Linked DNA regions of Callithrix jacchus. The protein of the gene in region 3 purifies or fractionates together with the protein of the main gene of each other region. This does not show direct contact. Links are inferred from orthologs where the notes say so. Each region holds a gene or a part of one and is shown on either strand. Other genes may lie near its edges.

Region 1 (6,787 bases), on a different chromosome or scaffold from region 3:
ACTGTATTAATAAATTAATATATTAATAAAGGTTTTGCCTTTTGGGATGACTTACTGCTACCTTTTTGAGATTTGAGGGAAGTACCAAATGGCTCCCAGTTTTAAATTTAAAACCCTCTTCCCATCAAATAGTCCCTATAGCTAATTAATCTTAATTGAATCAATCTGATTAATTCATCTGGAATAAGTCACTGAAATCCCTAGGAAAGTCACTTAACTGGTCTTAAGGCCAAGCTCGGTGGCTCATGCCTGTAATCCCAGCACTTTGTGAAACCAAGGCAAGAGGATCACTTGAGGTCAGGAGTTTGAGACCAGCCTGGCCAACTAGAGGTCAAGTGTTGGAGATCAGCATGGCCAACATGGAGAAACCCTGACTCTACTAAAAATACAAAAATTAGATGGGAGTGGTGGTGCACGCCTGGAATTCCAGCTTCTCTGGAGGCTGAGGCACGAGAATCGCTGGAACCTGGGAGGCAGAGGTTGCAGTGAGCCAAGATCATGCCACTGCACTGCAGCCCGGGCAATAGAGTAAGACTGTCATAAAACAAAACACAACCACAACAAAACTGGTCCTAAATGCTCAGGGCAAGTACATACTGCTTTTTCTTTTCTTTTTTTTTTTTCCCTAAGGCAGGCCTATGGAAGAGTTACAAGTCTTTCATCTACAATATTTTACTAATTTAAAAACACTTGTCAAGAGAGGTAAAGTATGTTCATCTTGATTTTTCTCTTTTAGCCTTCCATAATCCTAAATGGTATTGGCACAATTACTTTTGTATCCTGGAGTGAGGAATTAACATTTTTATGATAGTGATAGAGACTTTTAACACACACACACACCCCCCGAGACTTAAAACACGTGATGCAGGCGGGCTTTTGGAAATTATGCTCTGGATACAGAAGTCCCAAAGCGCAGGCTGCAGAGACATTGAGGGGACAGTCAGCCTTTGTCGTCCTTCATGCACTGTGCCCAGCGCTCCCTCTTGCGGCTACAAGCGCTCACTGCCCACACTCGCTTCTAGTCTCTCCCCAGGCCTCGGTTACGCAGGGGAGAAAGAGATTGCGCAGGCGCAGAACGGCCGACGTGGCCGCAGGGGACCTTGTCTGGGGGTCTGCGTGGAGCCGCTGACTCACGAGGTTCCCTCTCGCCTGCCGCCCACGCTCCTTTTCTCTCCCTCCAGAGTGTTACGGTGACTGTTGGGTTCCAAGAGGACGGACGTCCTCCCACGTACCATTTAGAAGGTCAGAGTGGACAGAACCTAGTCTGAGCAGGCTGGTGACGAGTCGGCTGCTAAGACGCGCGCGTGGGCATCTGCGGCGTGACCGCGGCGGCGCGCTCCGGGCTCTGTGGCGGGAGCGAGGCCGACGGGCGGGGCGGCGCAGTCGCGTGACGGGGAGCGCTCGAGAGCGCGCGGCCCGGAACGTCTCGGTGGTCCCGGAGAGCGCGCGCTCGAGGCCTTGGAAACCTCGGGACCCGCCCTCGGCGAGCCCAGTGGCTACGCGTGTGGGGGAGCTCGAGCTGACCCGGGCAGTGGCGGCCGCGCGGGGAGCTCTCGAGGCGACGCCGGGGCGCCCGAGGTCTGGAAGTCGCAGGTGGGGCGGCGGGGAGTTCACCCCTGCGCGGTCCCCTGGGTGGGCGGCGTGAGCACCCCAGGCCCCGCTCACCCCGCGGGGAGGCCGAGCCGGCCAGGGTCGCGGGACGAGGGCGGAGGTGGGTGGGGCCTCATCCAAGTCTCAGGAAGGGAGCGATTTCGTGAGAGAATAGTTTGAGAAGTTGTTCTGCGTCCCCTCCCCCGCCCCAGGGTCGTGTTTAGGGAACCTTCGGTCTCTCCTCCTCGGACTTTTAGGTTGGAGGGAGTCCTTCCCGCCCGCTTTGCGTCGCGGGGTCCTTTGGGAGCCTCGCCATTCATCCTTCTCCCGGCTCCACCCCCGTTGTTTACTTTGAGTTCGCAGATCTCCCAGTTCTTTCGCCCTCCCGCAGCGCCCACTGCAGTGTCGGGTTCGGTAGCCTTTCTCTGCAAGGAGGCCCACGAACAACTGCAGTTACATTGGGAGGGGTTGCGCGTGATTTGACTCTTTACGGTACATCCCTTCCAGTTTCCTAGGGATTGAGCTGCGCGGTGGATGCCTCCGACTTTATTGTGGGCCTGAGAAAAGTTTCTCTTGGAATGCGCAGGTTCGTGACGCGGCGTATTATTGCGTGACTGTAGGGCTGACCCAGTTTTCCTCTAATTGTAAAGAAGTACTCTAGTAATCCACTGAGGATCCTGGAGATTGGCTTTATTGTATTATAGTTTAACGACTTTGCGTGCCAGGTTGTTACGGCGTTGGAAATAATGGCCTCGGATATTTAAGAATGTAGTGGTATTTCTTTGAAATTTCCGAAGATGGAGGAAAAAAGTAATAGAAGACTGTATCCATTTACATATGGAACCGTTTTCTGATTCGCGGGTCTTTATAATCGTAGACTTAATTTGGTGGGTTTATTGGACCTGTTTGAAACGGGAAGCCTTTCTGTAATGCGGCTTCCGGTCGGCTTCACCTGTGCCACTCTCTGAAACGTTGTTGTGCGTGGTTTCCCTAACAGGCTAGAATGAGTGGGATGCTACGGGGAGAGTGCATACAGGCCGTAGACAAAGCCCCCTCAGCTTTTTTGGTAAAAGACCAAATAGGCATTAGGTAAACTTCTGCCATATCTAGGGAGACAAATGCGGTATTATTAAAGACTGCTTTAATGTTGACTGTTATGTGGGAGTGAAGTGAGAGTGTTACTACTTTCAGTGTTTATGGAATCGAACTAAATTGCTAGGTATTTTGATTCAGAATTTTACCTTTGCTCTTGGGTATTTTTTTTTAAGACACACACATACATATAGTTATGTTGAAATAAATGCGTTTTTTGTTTCTTTTATTAGAACGTTAAAAATTAGAATTTAAGTGAACTACTGGTATGCAGGAACAGATTTGGTTTGTTCTCACAGACTGTTACACTATTGTAGGTACAGTTTAATACTTCAGATTGTTTCAAAGACTTTCTCTCCTCATCGAAATCATGTGATAATAGTTTTTATCTTTTCTGGACACTTGACGCTTAATTGTGCTTAGGAATAGAATAGACTTTTTTTTTTTAAGTCACCATCCTATAATCCTTATTTCTGTAAAATGTATTTTGTGAGATTGGAGAGGAGGTAGCAAATCCCAGTCACAAAATAAAAATGTGTTATTTTAATATAAACCTTTTTCTGTGTTGAAATTCCCCAGAGATTAGACTGAAATTGACCATTAGACTTACATGTAACCTCCAGATATCCAGGCTCTTCTCCCTGTGTAACCTTTTTTTCTCTTCAAGATGGAGATGAAGCAAGGAAGGTAATTAAGCAACCCTGTGAATTTAGCCCTCCCACTCCACCCTACACACAGGCACACTCTTCTTTCTCAGTAGCCATCTTGTTTCCTCCCTTGACACATTGTTTAAGAAATCTTTCATCACACTGTATGTAAAAGAAGCTTAGAAGTAAAGGTATACCCAAGGTAAATATTGCTTCTAGCTGTATTCCTTCATTATGTTTTGCTTCTACTTTCAAATGCTACCTATTGAAGACTTAAGCCACATAACTATCTACCATGGGTCACTCTGGGTTTTCTTTAACCCTCCCTCACTCTGCTGACTTGTAAACATAGTAGGAGTTTTAGCTTTGGAATCAAATATAGCTTATCTAATTTTCATTTTCCTTTTTTTTTTTTTTTTTTTCTTTAAAGAGACAAGTTCTTGCTCTGTCACCCAGGCTGGCTGGAGTGCAGTAGTACAATCCTAGCTCACTGCAACCTTGAACTTGTGGGCCCAAGCTATCCTCTGGCCTTAGCCTCTGCAGTAGCTGGGATTACAGGCGAGAGCTCATTTAATTTTCTCGACACATCATTTTCTGATCCATGAACTGATTTGAGTTTATTATTTACTAGCTTTGTCTTAGGCAAACGGCTCATATTTATAAAACATTTTTAAAATCAAATAGCCTCCAAGAGTGAAGATTCGATAATCTTAGAAGGGTTCCAGACACGTACAGAGAGAGCTTAACAAAAGAGAGTAAATTTTGGTGCTTCTGAGAGCCAGAGACAGACCATGTCCATTGTATCTTTGCCATGTATTACAGTATGAGCGGTTTTTAAAGCAGTACTTTTAATTTGCTTGTGAACCCCCAAATAATTTTTGTAAAGCTGTCCCTCTTGCACACTTTTGGTTAACTTACAGCATTTTACATCATGCTTTAGTTGAAAAGGATGCAATTTTCCACATGGTATTGCTATTGACATTTTAATATAATGCTGGTACATCATTCTTTTAGCTGTATTCAGTGGAGTATCATATCTTTGTAGTTTTAGATATATCACCATCAATTTTTAAAATACATTCTATTTTACAAACTTCCTTCTTGCTTTTTTTATCACCCCCATCCCACAGAGTATTATCTTAAGGTAATGTATTTTTATGCTTGAAAGCTTTTTATTAATTTCTGTCATACATGTCTTTGTAATTTGAACTTTTATAAATTGAACTAAGTTTAAAACTGTTCCTATAATTCTATAAGTTGTAATTTTCTTTTGGATTGAATTATTATAAATAGTAACAGTTGATCAGAATAGCATAAATACCTGATGGATTTTAATGAATAATAATTAAGAGTAGAAGTTGACTGGAAATCTGTGTCTTAATGGAATAGATAGTGGGAGTTGTGTCTAAATTAAAGGAGGGTCTTTGAGCCCGTTGACTTCTTTTTTGTTGGTAGGGAGGCTTTTCCATCCTGGGGCAGTGTGTCATAGTAAGAATGGAAGTGGGTGAGAAGTATGTCTTTATTTTGTAAAGCGGAAGGATTGCGAAAGGATCTCAGGGAAGAAGAACCAGCATGATAACTGGACAGTGGGCATGTTCTCAGGCAGATTAGTTTAGTGAGGAATACTAATGGAAGTAAAGGATCTGGAAGCCTTTTCTTTTTTCTTTTTTAAACTACATGCATGCTGTTAGTGTATGTCCCGTGGAAGACTTTATTTGTCCTGGGGGACACACATCTTCCAGTTTGAAGACCATTTAGAGTGGTGATTCTCAGTGGGGGACGATTTTGCTGCCTAAGGTACATTTGGCAATGTCTGGAGACATTTTTGGTTGTCACAGCTGGGGTGGGGGAGGGGTGCTGCTACGGGCATCCAGTGGACAGAGCTCAGGGATGCCACTGACAAAGAATTAATTATCCAACCCAAAATGTCAACCGTGCCAAGATTGAGAAACTCTGATTTAGAGAATTTGTTTTGGAATCAGACTATTTAATTCCGTAATCTAGTGCAGGGTCAGTAAACTTCTTTTGTTAAGTGCCTGATAGTAAATATTTTAGGCTTTTGGGGGCCATATATGATCTCTGTTGCACATTATTCTTTGTTTTTATAACTTTTTTTTTTTTTTATGAGATGGAGTTTCACTCTTGTTACCCAGGCAGGAGTGCAATGGCGCGATCTCGGCTCACCGCAACCTCCACCTCCTAAGTTCAGGCAATTCTCCTGCCTCGGCCTCCTGAGTAGCTGGGATTACAGGCACACGCCACCATGCCCAGCTAATTTTTTGTATTTCTAGTAGAGACGGGGTTTCACCATGTTGACCAGGATGGTCTCGATCTCTTGACCTCGTGATCCACCCGCCTCGGCCTCCCAAAGTGCTGGGATTACAGGTGTGAGCCACCGCACCCAGCTGTTTTTATAACCTTTAAACAATGTAAAAGTAATTCTTATCTCCAGGGTCTTTCAAAAAACAGGTGATCTATGGCAATTAATGCTTTCAAACCTCAATTTTCTTCTCTGCAAAGTAGTACTAATAGTAATACTACTTCAAGAATTGTTTGTAAGGATTGCGATAAACACCTAGCGTACTGTCCAGCATATGTTAAGTGCTCTAAATGATGTGTGGGGATAGTGGTGTCCTGTAGTATTTTGCACAAAAGTGGGTGCCAAGTCACAGTGTTGTTCAAGATCCTGTTCAAGTCACTTGGACAAACTTAATGATGGCTGGCAAAGTTCCCAGTCAACTCTGAGAAGCCTATTTGACCTCTGCTGTCTTTCTGCTGTCTTACTCTGAGTCTCCTTGTATCCTGAAGAAGTTGGAATACAAAATACCTGTCCTGTGGTTTCTTTGGAAAAATGTGGCAATCTTGCGACACAACAGGATAGCATTCCAGGAAAAGAGATTGATAATTTTGATAGGGATGGTGGGGCAGAGCAAAAAGGTGGGTTTATGTATGGTCTCTTGTATATGGTGTTTTCTGACTGGGTACTGAATATATTCTGTCACTACCATGAAGTTGTTGCACGATATGGCCGACTAGTGGTTTATTTTTCAGGCTGGAAAGTATTGCTATATTATTACTAAATGGAAGCTAGAACACAGCTTCTGTGATGCTTCATAGTGTAGAATGCTGCTAAAATAGTCTCATATCACTGTAATTCTCCGAGCATAAGTTTTCACGAGGTCACAGGAAAAGAATTGGCATGTCTAATAAGAGTAGCCACTTAGGTACATGTGGATATTGGGCACTTGCAGTGGGGTTAGTTGGAAGTGAAATATCTTTTTAGTGTAAAACACATATCGAGTTTCGAAGACTTCAAACCAAAATAAAACTAAATTATTTCACTGGAAGTTTTTATATTAGCTGCATATTGAAATAATATTTTTAATATATTTGGATAAATAAGATACTATCATTGAAATTAATTTCACCTGTTTCTTTTTTACCTTTTTAATGTGGTT
Region 2 (6,787 bases), on a different chromosome or scaffold from region 3:
TTAAATAAGAAAGTGACTTCATAGAATAGAGACTGCAGAGTAAGAGTGCTCAGACCCATAAGGGTTTAATATAGCCCTACCTCTAAGAATTCTTTCTGTTCCTCACCCAAATGAACTAATCGCTGTCTACTGGTTCCTCTAAAAACCTTGGGGGCCGTGGCAGGGTGTGGATTTATGACTAATCTTATTACTTGTCTTCCCAGGTGGTCTCTGGGTTCTATCAGGAACAATCCAGGTGTGATCATTATTTTCCCCAGTGCTTAGCGTGGAGTCTGGTATGCACATGCACACGCAAAGTCAGTAAATGGTGAATAAAACGAAAGGCAGTCAAGATCCACCTGCTGAATGAAGGTCTATCAGTAGCACTGTCATCCTTCTTGCTTCCTTCTTTTGCATATGTTGTTTGAGCTGTTCATTCAACCAAGGAGAGAGCATACTCTACCTTGGGCAGTGTGCCAGCCTTGCACAGAGGGACAGATGATTCAGCTTGATCAGGCTGTGACAGAGAAAAGCTCAGGGTCTGAGAACGCAGAGGAAGCGACTAACTCAGACTGGAGGGTAAGGTGAGGCTCCCCAGGGGAAATGAAGTTGTGTCCGCCCAAGAAGCAGAAAGTTTGGGATTGGGGAGAAGTTGGTTTCTGTGAGAGAAACAAAGGCCCCAGGCAGAGCCAATAGTCTTCCAGATAACGAACATCACTTTAGAGAGCCGAGTTTAGAATTTGTGAAGGAGGGGACAATGCTGCTAATGCTCATAGGTGGGTGATGAAAAATGAGAACACATGGACACAGAAAGGGGAGTACTAAACACTGGGGTCTATTGGGGGGAAAAGGGGAGGGCTAGTGGGAGGGGGAGGTGGGGAGGGATAGCCTGGGGAGAAATGCCAAATGTGGGTGAAGGGGAGAAGAAAAGCAAAGCACACTGCCATGTGTGTACCTATGCAACTGTCTTGCATGCTCTGCTCATGTACCCCAAAACCTATAATCCAATAAAAAATTAAAAAAAAAAAAAAAAAGAAAAGAAAAGGGAGTCGGATTTGTAAACCCCTCTGCCTTCCGGGTTCAAGCGATTCTCCTGCCTCAGCCTCCCGAGTAGCTGGGACTACAGGCGCGCGCCACCATGCCCGGCTATTTTTTTGCATTTTTAGTGGAGACGGTGTTTCACTGCGTTAGCCAGGATGGTCTCTATCTCCTGACCTCATGATCCGCCCGCCTCTGCCTCCCAAAGTTTGTGATCACAGGCTTGAGGCACCGTGTCCTGCTTAAGGATTGTTTTAAGGACAGCCTTGAGGAGACATTGAAGGTTTTAACAGGAGAATAACATGATCCAATTTAAATTTTAAAAAGATAACTCTCAACTCTGCAAACAGTGGATTGGATGTGGGCAATGATCAACTCAGGAGCAGCTGAGAGTCTACTGCAGAAGAGTGGGTGAGGGATGATGGTGGCTTGGACTTCGGTGCTTGGACTGGAAAGAAATGGAACAATCTAATACACAACTGGAAGAAGAATCTCTCTGGCTGTGATGTGGGAGGATAAGGAAGTGATTGGAGCGGTAAGGAGGGTTCATTAACGAGCTAGGACTTTATTTTGAAGGGATAAAGGGGACGACTTTTAATATTTTAATCTTGGGACTGATTCATTCCGATATGGGTTTATATAAATAGACCGCTTGTCAAAGGGTACTGAGAAGACTGTCAGACACTGCACAGGTAAGAACTGAGACCCAGACCGGGCGGGCGCAGTGTATGTGGTGAGGTGCCGGAGATGGGAGATTGGTTTCGGGGACGGGTACGGAGCCAAGCAGTCAGAGAGAAGCGAAAATTGACGCAGCCCCAGGAACAGCTGCTGGGGGCGGAGGGGGATGGGAGCCGCCGGAGCCACCCTCGCCCCCTGGCGCCGGGGGCGGGACTAGAGCACGCACGGCGCGATGACGTAGGGTCTGAGCCTGCCTCGTTGTGGTTGCTGCCGCCGCGCTGAGGCGGAGTAGGATGAGGCCCGCGGCCGTGGCTCCGGCGTCGGCGGGGGCAGCAGCAGCTGAGGCAGCAGCTGAGGCAGCCGCGACGGCCGCGCCCCCCCCTCCTGACCTGGATTAGGCCCAGCAGCTCCGTGGCCGCCGCCGCCCCGCGGGGGGGCGGGGTGGGGAAGTGCTTCGTCTCCCCGCCCCCCCCCCCATCGCCGCCTCGCAGGAGGCAACCGCCGCGACCCCAGCGGAGCCCGCGGCCCAGCCTTGAGCCCCCACCTCCGGGGGCTGGCATGAGCGGCCCCTCGGCGGCACCGCGGGGCGGTGGAATCACCTGCGCCTGATCCCCGGCCTGCCGCCCGACCCCACCTCGCCGACCGAGGCTGACCGCGGAGCTTGCGAACGACCCCACCGCTGCTTTATCCTCCCCCAGATCACGCACCGCAGCTCCGGAAGATGGGGAACTGCCTCAAATCCCCCACCTCGGATGACATCTCCCTCCTTCACGAGTCTCAGTCCGACCGGGCTAGCTTTGGTGAGGGAACGGAGCCGGATCAGGAGCCGCCGCCGCCATATCAGGTAGGGGAGGGTGTGTGTTGGAGGGAGCGAGGAGTAGAGGCAGCTCTGGCTGAGACTGTGGGGGCTTCGGGCGGTCTCTGCCCCTGGCTTCGGCAAGGCCTGGCCTGGGCGGCATTGACCCCCTTAGGGCTGGATCTGAGGACATTTGCTCTCTGTTCGCAGAATAGGGTTGGTTCTTCGCCTCCCCTCGGGCACCGTGTGGGGATGGTACCCTCTGCCCTTGAGTTCTGGGATCAGAGAACGTGATCACATCCCCTAGGCCAGTGTCTGGTGGTTCGCTTGTGGAGTTTGGGAGTGACATTTTCCTGCCTTTATGTCTGAATCGTGTGATTTCCTCGTCGCACCGCCAACTGGATTATGGGTTCTGGATAGGTGGTTGCCAAGCACTACCCCCCCACCCCGCCCCATTTATGTTTTCATGTGTGGTCATCCTCTTACCCCCTCCTTCGTCTTTGTTAATTGGATCTGGCAGGTCTTCATTTCTCCCTCAGCTTCGGAGACGGATCTCCAAGTGATTTTAGCCCTAGCGACATCAGGCTACTTGTTTATATATATATACATGTATATAAATTTTAATCCCTCCTCCTTTTGCTCCACCCATATGACACACCTTTTAAACGTGCTGACTTAAGAAAACTTGATTAGCTTGAACTTTGGAAACCTTTAAACCTGACGGGAAATTCCTTCGGTTACTCGTGGTGTTCTCCCTTTGTATCAAAGACTCCTAAATAGATTTTACTGCTTTTTGTACAACAATCATTAGTCCCAGATGTGTTACAGAATTAGAATGACTAATTCTTAAACTCAAAATAGGTATGTGGATGTTTAATCCATAATATATATGTAAAAACATTTCCTGTACTTTTTTCATTTTAGATGATATTGAATACAATCTTTCAGAGGGCTTCAGTAGTAGTACTTAATTTTTTCCTGAAGAGTTTAGTTTTCTGACTGGGCATTCTCCTTTGTTTCATGTGGTGACATCATTACCTAGTGTTTTCTCATTCCTGTGTAAACCAGTGTCTCGTCACACCAGAAAAACCTGATCATATATGCCGATTTTCTGAATATAATTCTTCTGGGGCATTTCATGTATACCAGTAAAGTCCAGTCTTGATTGTGGCATACAGAAGCCTCCATGGCTTCTCTCTATTACGTTCTAGATTCTAGGCCTACCAAATACACCAGGCTCTTCACACCTTTGTTTTGCTTCAGTTGCTCTCTGCTTGGAGCCCTTCCCCCAGGTCAACCAGGTGGACATCTAATCCTCTTTGAGAACTCAAGCTTTTGTGTCTGAAGTCCCAGCATTCCCTTCCCTCCCAGCCCGAATCCCTTGTTTGTGTCCCCACTGAAACCACTACACTTCCATAAGTAATATCTATAACACTTTAATGTTCTATCTTTGTGAGATGTGTGTCTCATTTTTGTATTCGCCTTTTTCAGTGCAAGCTGCGTGAAGGTAGGGAATCTGTTTCTGGTTTGCTGTTGTATCCCTTACATCTGCCTCAGTAGGTAGTAACTGGGAGATAAATGATGAGTAAAAGCCCTTGAAAACAGGGACTCTTCCCCTCACTCAATTTCTGGCACATAAGCACCTAACTGAATGGATTAATGACGTTGAATTCAGTATTTTCTGTATTTACACAACTATTTTTTCCAAAGTACAATGTCACAAGGATAGTCTCAAGAAAGCTTAATCTGGGCCGGATACAGTGGCTCATGCCTGTAATCTCAGCACTTTGGGAGGCGGAGGCCGGAGGATCACCTGAGGTCGGGAGTTTAAGGCCAGCCTGACCAAATGGAGAAACCCAGTCTCTACTAAAAATACAAAATTAGCTGGGCATGGTGGCACATGCCTGTAATCCCAGCTACTTGGGAGGCTGAGGCAGGAGAATCGCTTGAACCTGGGAGGTGGAGGTTGCAGTGAGCCAAGATTGCCCCACTGCACTCCAGCCTGGGCAACAAAGAGCGAAACTTTGTCTCAAAAAAAAGCTGAAGCTGGATGTCTTTACAAGTACCTTTGAGTGAAGCAAGCAAGCTGTGTTTATATTTCACTCTCTTTCCCTCCCTTATTTACTATACAACAAAAGTGGTTATTTCCTTTTTTTTTCTTTTTGAGATGGAGTCTTGTTAATGTTGCCCAGGCTAGAGTGCAGTGGCATGATCTTGGCTCACCACAGCCTCTACCTCCTGGGTTCAGGCAATTCTGCCTTAGCCTCCCAGGTAGCTGGGATTACCGGCATGTGACACCATGCCCTGCTAATTTTGTATTTTTAGTACAAATGGAGTTTCTCCTTGTTGGTCAGGCTGGTCTCAAACTCCCAACCTCAGGTGATCCATCTCGGTCTCCCAAAGTTTTGGGATTACAGGCATGAACCACCACACCTGGTCACGTCGAGACACAATTTCACCATGGTCAGGCTGGTGTTGAACTCCTGACCTCAAATAGTCCACCTGCTTTGGCCTCCCAAATTGCTGGGATTACAGGTGTGTGCCACCGAATCTGGCCTGAAGTTTTTATTTTAAATCTCTTACGCTCCCTACCCTCACCTGCTTCTCTTTTTAAAAAAATTAGAGACAGGGTCTCCTATGTTACTCATAGGCCTGTCTTTAACACAGCAGCCACTTATTCTGCTAAACCTGAACATGACATCTGCCCAACCCTCTGTGGATCTTTGTTTCATTCAAAGTAAAAACTCGGCCTTAAGCAGTTCTCCTGCTTCCTATCCCCTTTGTTTCCAGGCAAATTGAATATCGTTGGCTTGTTCTCTTTCTCCTATCCTTATGATAATTGTAGTATTAAAAGTACTAAAGTTTATGGAAACTGTGTTTGCCTTTTCCAGAAGGAGTAGATGATGATGAGAGATGAGGGGTTTTTGGTGTCAAGAGGGAACTTTTTTTTGGAAATGTTAGATTTTTGACAGTGGGAGGTTTTTGTTTGTTTTGAGACAGAGCCTCACTCTGTCATCCATGCTGGAGTGCAGTGGTGCGATTTTGGTTCACTACAACCTCCGCTCCTGGGTTCAAGTGATTCTCCTGCCTCAGCCTCCCAAGTAGCTGGGATTACATGCCCAGCTAATTTTTTGTATTTTTAGTAGAGATGGGGTTTTGCCATGTTGACCAGACTGGTCTTGAACTCTTGGCTTCAAGCAGTCTGCCCACCTTGGCCTCCCAAAGTGCTAGGATTGCAGGTGTGAGCCACCGTGCCTGGCTGACAGTGGCAGTTTTTTACAGTTGCATTTTCCTGAAATGAATGACACAGACTAATATACAAATTCAGTATCAATTGGAAGAAAATTACTTTAAAAGCATAAAAGAAACTTTTGTAGAAAAAGTATTGTCCTCATCCCGAAAGAAATAAGATCTGTTTTACGAATGGTTATTTTAAATGATCTGAGAAACATTAATCCAAGGTTATTTATTCATTTGAGTTGGGAATCTCCCTCTGTCATTCAGGCTAGAGTGGATTGCTCACTTGGCAGCTTCAGACTCCTGGCCTCTGGTGATCCTCCTGCCTCAGCCGCCCACAGACTGGGATTACGGATGTGAGCTACCTCACACAACCAATTTATAGTATTTTCAGTTGATAAAAGTAAGTTTTTCAACGAATTGTAGTTAACAGGGAATAGCTAATTGTAAAGGAACAGGTGCTCTTGAGGTGAGTAGTTAAAAGATGTCATTGTTTTCTGCCTTATATTATGTAAAATATGAATATAATGACAAGCGCCAGTTCCAGTTATTTCCTATTGACATCTGACAAATTTGTTTTTATTTATTTTTGCCTAAAAGTAAACCCTGTACCATTACGATCTAAGTTTGTAGGAAGTGCATGTTTCTCTCCTTGGTTTCTTTTGTAGCCTCCTAGCTGGTATCCCTGCTTTCACCCTTGTCCTCGCTAAGGCCTGTCTTCAACACAACAGCCACAGTTATTCTGCTAAACCTGAACATGACAGTCTGCCCAACCCTCTGTGGATCTTTGTTTCATTCAAAGTAAAAAATCAAATTCCTTATAGTGTCCCATAAACCCTATGTAATCTGTACTCCTTGACACCTACAACTAACTCCTTTGTTAAGGGCTTCCTTCCAGCTTCCCTGGCCTCATTGCTATTCTACCTTTGCCCTCCTTATTCTTATGCTTAGAGTACTTGCCCAGGTTTCAGGGCTGACTGACTCCCTCAAGTCTTTTCTCAAATACCACCAACCTTCTCTGACCACCCTATTTAAAGTTGCAGCCTGCCCTAATACCCT
Region 3 (6,781 bases):
CTGCCCCCCCCCCCCCGCCCCCAGCAATTTTCAGTTGTTAAGGTGAAAGGAACAAGAAAGCTGAAGGTTGGGTTCATCAGAATTTCAGTTGATTAGTTCATTCAAAAGAGGGAGAGGTGTGAGATTTAAAAGTATTTGTAAGATGGGTGATGTGGCTCACGCCTGTAATCCCTTTGGGAGGCTGATGTGGTCAGATCCCAGGAGTTCGAGACCAGCGTGACCAATGTGGGAAAACACAATCTCTACTAAAAGTACAAAAAAGTAGCTGGGCATGGCAGTGCATGCCTGTAATCCCAGCTACTCAGGAGGCTGAGGCAGGAGATTCACTTCAACCCCAGAGACTGAGGTTGCAGTGAGCCGAGATTGCGCCACTGCACTCCATCCAGCCTGGGATACAGAGCTAGATTCTGTCTCTGTATAATAAATGAAAATAAATGAAAAATAAAATTATTTGCAGATACTTTTATAAATACAAATGAAATACAAATACATTATAATGTATAATGATGGCCCACGATTTCTAAAGTAATTATAGTGATGGGCTGTAGATAAAGCAAAAAGAGAGAACAAGAGGCTGAGGACAGGACGGGATAGGATGATGAAGTCATGGGTCAACAGGCTGGCATTTTAATTGAAATAAACTGGAAAGACATGGTAAGAGAACAGGATTTTTAAATTAGAAACTTCCTTTACTGGTGATGGCAGGGTTCAAGGTATAGTCTTGGAGTCAGTGACTGAAGAAAGCAGAATCGATTTTAGCATGTCTCTGTCTTTTTGTAAAACAGCACAAAACATAATAGCCAGTGTTTTAAAACAGAAGCCTGTTTTGGATGTTTTCAAGTAACCCACTTTCATGCTTTTCAACTCAACATTTATTAAATATCAACCCTATGTGAAACAGATCATCCTTATGAGAGTACAGAGATGACTGCCCTTGTGAATTTTAGAATCTGATGGGAGAAACCAATCAGTCCTAATCCAGAGTAGATTAAAATAGATGTTAAAACAGAAATAAAGGGAGCCTATGGATAGGGATATTATCCGTGTAAGATGTTTAAAGAGGAAGTTGTAGCATTTGGTCTGGTTCTTGATGAAAAGTGTATTCTAGACCATAGAGAGCAGGGTTACAGAGAAGCAAGATGTGTGGTATGCTCGGGAGAGCATGGACCAAGTTGATGGTAAAGAGTATAAGCTTCCTTTCCCCACCACAGTCCCCTCTCAACCCATGGCAACTCAAAAGCAGCAAAGGTTTTTGAAGAGTGGCATAAACTGGTATCTATGTCTTTTTAGCAAAAAGTAAAAAAGAAACAAAACAAAATGGACTCACAGTTAAGTAGCCAGGAAATTCTCTGATGGTCCAGGTAAGAGATGATGGGGAAGTATGTACAGAGGGATGTAGTGGTAGTAGAAATGATCAGGAGGAGCCTGGGCAACATAGCAAAGCTTCATCTCTACAAAATGGCCATGGTAGCATGTGCCCGTACTCCCAGCTAGTCTGGGGGCTGAGGTGGGAGGATTACTTGAGCCTGGGAGGTTGAGTTGCAGTGAACCGAGACAGTGCCACTGCACCCTAGCTTAGGTGACAGACCCAGACCCTGTCTCTAAATAAATAACCAGGAGAAAATATGGAGTATATGATAGATAGAATGACAGAATTTGGCAAAGGCTATATGTGAAAGATGTTAAGAGATCAGAAAGTGACTGGTTGTCCTGTATAGGAAGTATTTTAAAAATATTTTTTTCTGACCTTGCTATCATATTCTACCTTGAAGTATAAAGGGGAGAGCAACATATGGTCTACTTAATTGCTGCTATTAATATCTTTAACTTCTTTTAAAATACAGACAATAATAGTCTTAGAACAACTCTGTTCTAATTAGCTGTCTTGTTTCAAAGGCTCTTAATTTTCAGGTTTCCTCTGACAGGGGAGGCTCAAGGGCACATGGAGTGTGGGAGTGGCAAGAGGGTACCTGGGTAATCTCTAAAAACCTTCCACATGAGAAAATGAGGGTACAGAAAGGTTCTTACTCAGAGCTATCTCATTAGTCACTGCTACTATGAGGACCAAAACCCTGAACATCCAAATCCTAATCTAGCTACTCACTGCTGTACCTCACAAAATGAAATGTTATTCTACCTTTGTAAACTGAAAAATATTGTTATTTTAAGCATTTTTCAGTATTTAAAAATTTTTCATCCCAGAATGGAATTATTTGAGTCTGGCAGGACTGGAAAATATATCATTTTAGAAGTTTTTTATATGTGGTTAGATTATAAAGACAAAGAAACGTATGCATTTGTTCATTGACTGTCTCCACCCCAGAATGTAAATACTACGAAGACAGGGATTTTAGTTTTCTTTATTGTATCACTAGTTTTTAGAACAGTATCTGTTATATAAAGAATCTAGGTAAATAACTGATGAATGAGTGAGTAAGTGGATGAACGAATCCATTAGGATAATGGACTCTTATCCTAAGAGCAGTTAGGAGGACTCATGACACATGTAACAGGAATAGTAAAGAGAAGATTAATGCTTAAAAAGAAAATCCAGTCTTTATCCATATTGCTACACTTAATTCCATTTTTCTCTGGGAGATGTTAAAATCGTTTTTATATGTAAATCTTAAATTTGGATTGCGCTAAGAAACTTAGAAATGTTAATATACCAATTAAGTAATGTTACAGTAGTAAATTGTCTGTTAGAATACTTCCGGCAAAATTTTTACATATATAATATGTATTCACATATCCATTCAGCTTTTCTGTGTGATTTGAAAAATATTCTATTAGAATTTTTTTCATTTTATTGAAAACATCTCATTTTGTTTTTGTTTCTGTTCAGTTTTAATCGCTTGGACCTACCACCATATAAGAGTTATGAACAACTAAAGGAAAAACTTCTCTTTGCAATAGAAGAGACAGAGGGATTTGGACAAGAATGAATGTGGCTTCTTATTTTGGAGGAGCTCTTGCATTTAAATACCCCAGACAAGAAAAATTGCACAGATAGTGTATATAAGCTGTTCATTCTGTACAGTGAATTTTTCAAACCTCTCAAAAGTATGTTTTCCGTTCTTCCACAGAAATATGCAAAACAGTTCATCCTTTTCTACTTTATTTATTGTTCCCTTGAAATGACTGACCAGGAAAAAGATCATCCTTACATTTTGAAGCAAGTGAGAGACTTTATTAAAAATACGTATATATCTATATAACCATATATGATAGTGGCTCTAGTTTTATAGAGCTCCAAGTGTATTAAACATGACAGCCGTTCATTCATAAAGATCTGAATTTGCTTTATCTTGTTAATATTATCTAGGGGAAAAAGTGCAAATTGCTCCATGTTCTTCTCTCCCTTATGTAACATCTGAGGGTGTTTAGTTGCATGGCTATTCAGGAAGGTATTAAGGGCTTAGGCCAAATCTTACTTTGAATATGTTTTTAAAAAAAATGCTGCTGGCTTTTCTGAAGATAGGTGCTTGAACCTGTCAGATTGTTTTAAATAAATACAATAGTTGAAAATTTTTCCCTATTACATCAGTAATATTGTAAAAGCAACGGATAAAACCGTAACTTACACATGAAACTCATATACTAGATCCAATACTATTTAGTTTATTACCGAAATTGGAAGGATTCATTGAGCAGCATAGAAGTCTGTTTACATGTTATTTTGGGATGCTAGGTATTTGTGGAATTAAAAAGAATCAGGCACTTTTGTACTTTGTTTTAAAATCTGTGTTCTTCAAAATTTAATTCATAATAAATTGATGCAATTTCATACTTAGGAACACATAAAAGGTAATTTGAACTCTGCCACTTTTTTTGTGTTCAAAGTTTTGGTTTTATAAAGCCAGATGGATTGAAGAGTTACATAAACATTTGAATGCTCTAACAAATATGAGGCTAATGATTTTCTGTTAGTGTTTGAATATCTTCATTCCTCTCAAATTCGTAACAGCTCTATTTATCTGAATTAAATAAGCATATAAAAATCTTTTGGGTCTCCCCCTTTTTATATAGATAATTATTTTTGTCCTAAGTAACACTTTTTCATTGTTTTTCATCATAAGGCCTTTGCTGAGTTAGAATAATGTGTAACAAATTAAAATCTGATGTTAATGATATTAGTGCCATTTTTAGCAAACTGGGCTTCCTAATACAAAACTTTAAATTTCCATTTGTATCACACTTTTAATATGCACTGTAAATTTCATTAACTTAAACATTTTTTATAGCCATGGAACTGACTTCTTAGAATGTGTTGCCTATAAATATATCACTGCTAAGTATATACAGAAAAAAACTAGTATACATGTTACCTTCCATAAACAGTGTTGTTTTGCCAAAATTTTATTTTTCTACATATTAATCAAGAGTGTGTTCTGTATTTTATTCAGAATTCATAGTAAAGGTGAAAGAAAGGCAGTAATCTGCTTGGTGAATAGACTCCTTTTCCAAATCCTAATTGCAGACACTCTGGTTATTTTCAAGCCTAAAAAATTAAAAAAAAATTCTAAGGTATAAGACAGCTTATGTGATAGAGAGTTAACTGGTCTTAAAAAAGGACTGCCTTAATTATACCATAAACAATTAAGTATTAGAATTACAAATGGTACCACTGCTGTATAAATTTTGCTATGACAGAAGTTATTGACTGTCATTCACTGGAGGTATGATTTAGCAGATTTGACTGAAGAAGATGGCATTCCAGTTGGTTTTCAGGGTACTGGTCTCCCTCCTCAAGAAATTAAGATTCACCAGGTGAGGCTACACAGAGCTTTACAAGAGACCAAACCAGCTTTATTTTGGAGAATTCATAATTCATCAGGGTCATCCAGTTTTCACACCCAATTATAGATATCCAAGACCTATATACAGGCAGAGCTGTCTTGATTTATCTATCTAGTAGCAGTCAGAAAAACTGTAGAAATAATGGTCCCGCGCTCACCTTCTCTATTTTCTCCTTTCCCTTTTCTCCCTTCACTTTCTCTACTTTCTCCCTTCTGTGCTGGATCAACCAGAAAGAAATTAAAAGTGCAAGATTCTCTGTGACCAAAACACAGTTCATGAGGAAACAGACAAGAGAGGGAGGCTCAGAGACAGGTTTATATTGCTACTTCATTTGGGTGGCTCCCCTGCCCCCACCACCAGTAAATGGCCCAGGGAATGGATTACAGGCCCAACACCATTCTATTAGATCAGTTTAATTGTTTGTCTTCCAGGGAAAGTAGCTTACCCGTGTTTTGGGGTTTTTTTCCCTCTATACTTCCCACGTAGTTGAAAATGAAAAGGTTAAAATCTTCTCCCCTGATGACTTCTGTTATCTAGCTCTTCCTATCCTGAAAACTAAATAGGAGGATGGTACGTGTCAACTGTATTGCCAGGCAACTTTGCTTCTGGTAAACACGACCGCTGACTGGTAAGTTTTATCTGGACTGGGAAATCTCCAGATACATGATAGAAAGCCATAGCTTTGGGCATACCTGAGTGGAAAACTTCTACACTGGATGCCCTTTAAAGAGTACCCTGAGCTGTTACCTGGGGAGATGACAGTCCTAGGAAACTTTCATCTCCTAGGAGATACCGTTGCATAGACTGCTATTAGGAAACCGTCTTCTGAAAGGAGGTTCAAAATTGCCCTGCTGGCGAGCTGCTTTTCCTGTCCTATAGCCTTCTGAGTAAAGTGGTGCCAAATATAGCCTACTGTAGGCTTGTTAAGTCTGAATGTTTGTTTGGTTGAACCTAAAAAGACTTGGTGGATGTTGCAGACGTAAAATCTTCCTTTTTTGAAATAACACAAACTACAATTCTCCTGTAACACTTAATTAGTTAACCTTAAAAGCCAAACTTTAGGTCAACTGGGGATTTGATCTAAATCCAAAACTGACATCCCCTAAATTCCAAAATTTCTCTCCTCAATTCTCAACCAAGAACAAAATCAGAGGTAACAGAAGTTATCTCATGGTAAATCCGTTACATAAATTATTCTCTTATTCCTTACAACTCCATGAAATTGGTGGGTTATTTCTTTAATGATGCTTATTTTATAGATGAGGAAAGTATGAAAGAAGTCATTTTTACAACATCCACAGCCAGTACACATCCTCTAATTAAAAACTCAGTTAACTTTGCCATCAAGAAAATGAGAGCTTTTAGGTTCTTATAGGATCATGGCCACTTTCCAAATTCAGCATTCTTTTCATATGCTCAAAAGAAAGGAAGGAACCTCTATAAGGGAGAGATATCGCCTACTTACGTAATAGGCTTAGAAGACAGCATTGTCAACTTCTATATACATGCATGTAGGAAAATAAGCATCTCAAGCCAGCAGTCAGCTCGGGAATGCACACAAAAACAGAATCAGGTGGGGACTGTACAGGAAGGAGAATGTAAGGGATTCCTGGGGTTCATTCTCAGTAGTGGGTCTCACCCTTAGAGGGGAAATGTCAAGAACCAATGTGACATGTGGGGAATCAGGCTCCTGGGAAGTCAAATGGAAGAGACTTAGTGCACAGAATCAGAATCTTGGGAAGGCACCATGTCTTGGAGAAGAAACCTACCCTCAGAGAGTAAAGGGGAAAAAATGAAGATAAAAGGACCCAGTAGCCACACTCCTGGGCATGTATCCCAGAAAGATAAAACAAGTAGACAAACCTGCATATAATGCCTATAGCAGCTTTATTTGTAATAGCCAGTTATCAGGAATAACCTAAATGCCCCTCTGTGTATGGATGATATGGTATGCCCATACAATGAAATACTAGTCAACTCT

What was found. Proteins that work in one complex are often made in the same cells at the same time.
Region 1: the proteins of WWP1 (region 3) and SPART purify together in Homo sapiens (affinity purification with mass spectrometry; 5 studies listed by BioGRID and IntAct, counting the BioPlex papers as one, with this or other methods). This does not show direct contact. The link is inferred for Callithrix jacchus from reciprocal best matches to the Homo sapiens genes WWP1 and SPART.
Region 2: the proteins of WWP1 (region 3) and RNF11 purify together in Homo sapiens (affinity purification with mass spectrometry; 3 studies listed by BioGRID, with this or other methods). This does not show direct contact. The link is inferred for Callithrix jacchus from reciprocal best matches to the Homo sapiens genes WWP1 and RNF11.

Annotation. Positions count from the first base shown.
Region 1 is NC_133506.1:155,586,534-155,593,320, reverse strand, and holds the start of SPART (spartin), read left to right. Parts: upstream 1-2,230; 5' UTR 2,231-2,387; coding exon 2,388-2,400; exon of another isoform or gene 2,401-2,413; intron 2,414-3,476; exon of another isoform or gene 3,477-3,531; intron 3,532-6,787. UniProt on the Homo sapiens protein: Lipophagy receptor that plays an important role in lipid droplet (LD) turnover in motor neurons.
Region 2 is NC_133508.1:88,114,687-88,121,473, forward strand, and holds the start of RNF11 (RING finger protein 11), read left to right. Parts: upstream 1-1,955; 5' UTR 1,956-2,416; coding exon 2,417-2,539; intron 2,540-2,977; exon of another isoform or gene 2,978-3,064; intron 3,065-6,787. UniProt on the Homo sapiens protein: Essential component of a ubiquitin-editing protein complex, comprising also TNFAIP3, ITCH and TAX1BP1, that ensures the transient nature of inflammatory signaling pathways. Promotes the association of TNFAIP3 to RIPK1 after TNF stimulation.
Region 3 is NC_133517.1:40,617,099-40,623,879, reverse strand, and holds the end of WWP1 (NEDD4-like E3 ubiquitin-protein ligase WWP1), read left to right. Parts: intron 1-2,845; coding exon 2,846-2,945; 3' UTR 2,946-4,438; downstream 4,439-6,781. UniProt on the Homo sapiens protein: E3 ubiquitin-protein ligase which accepts ubiquitin from an E2 ubiquitin-conjugating enzyme in the form of a thioester and then directly transfers the ubiquitin to targeted substrates.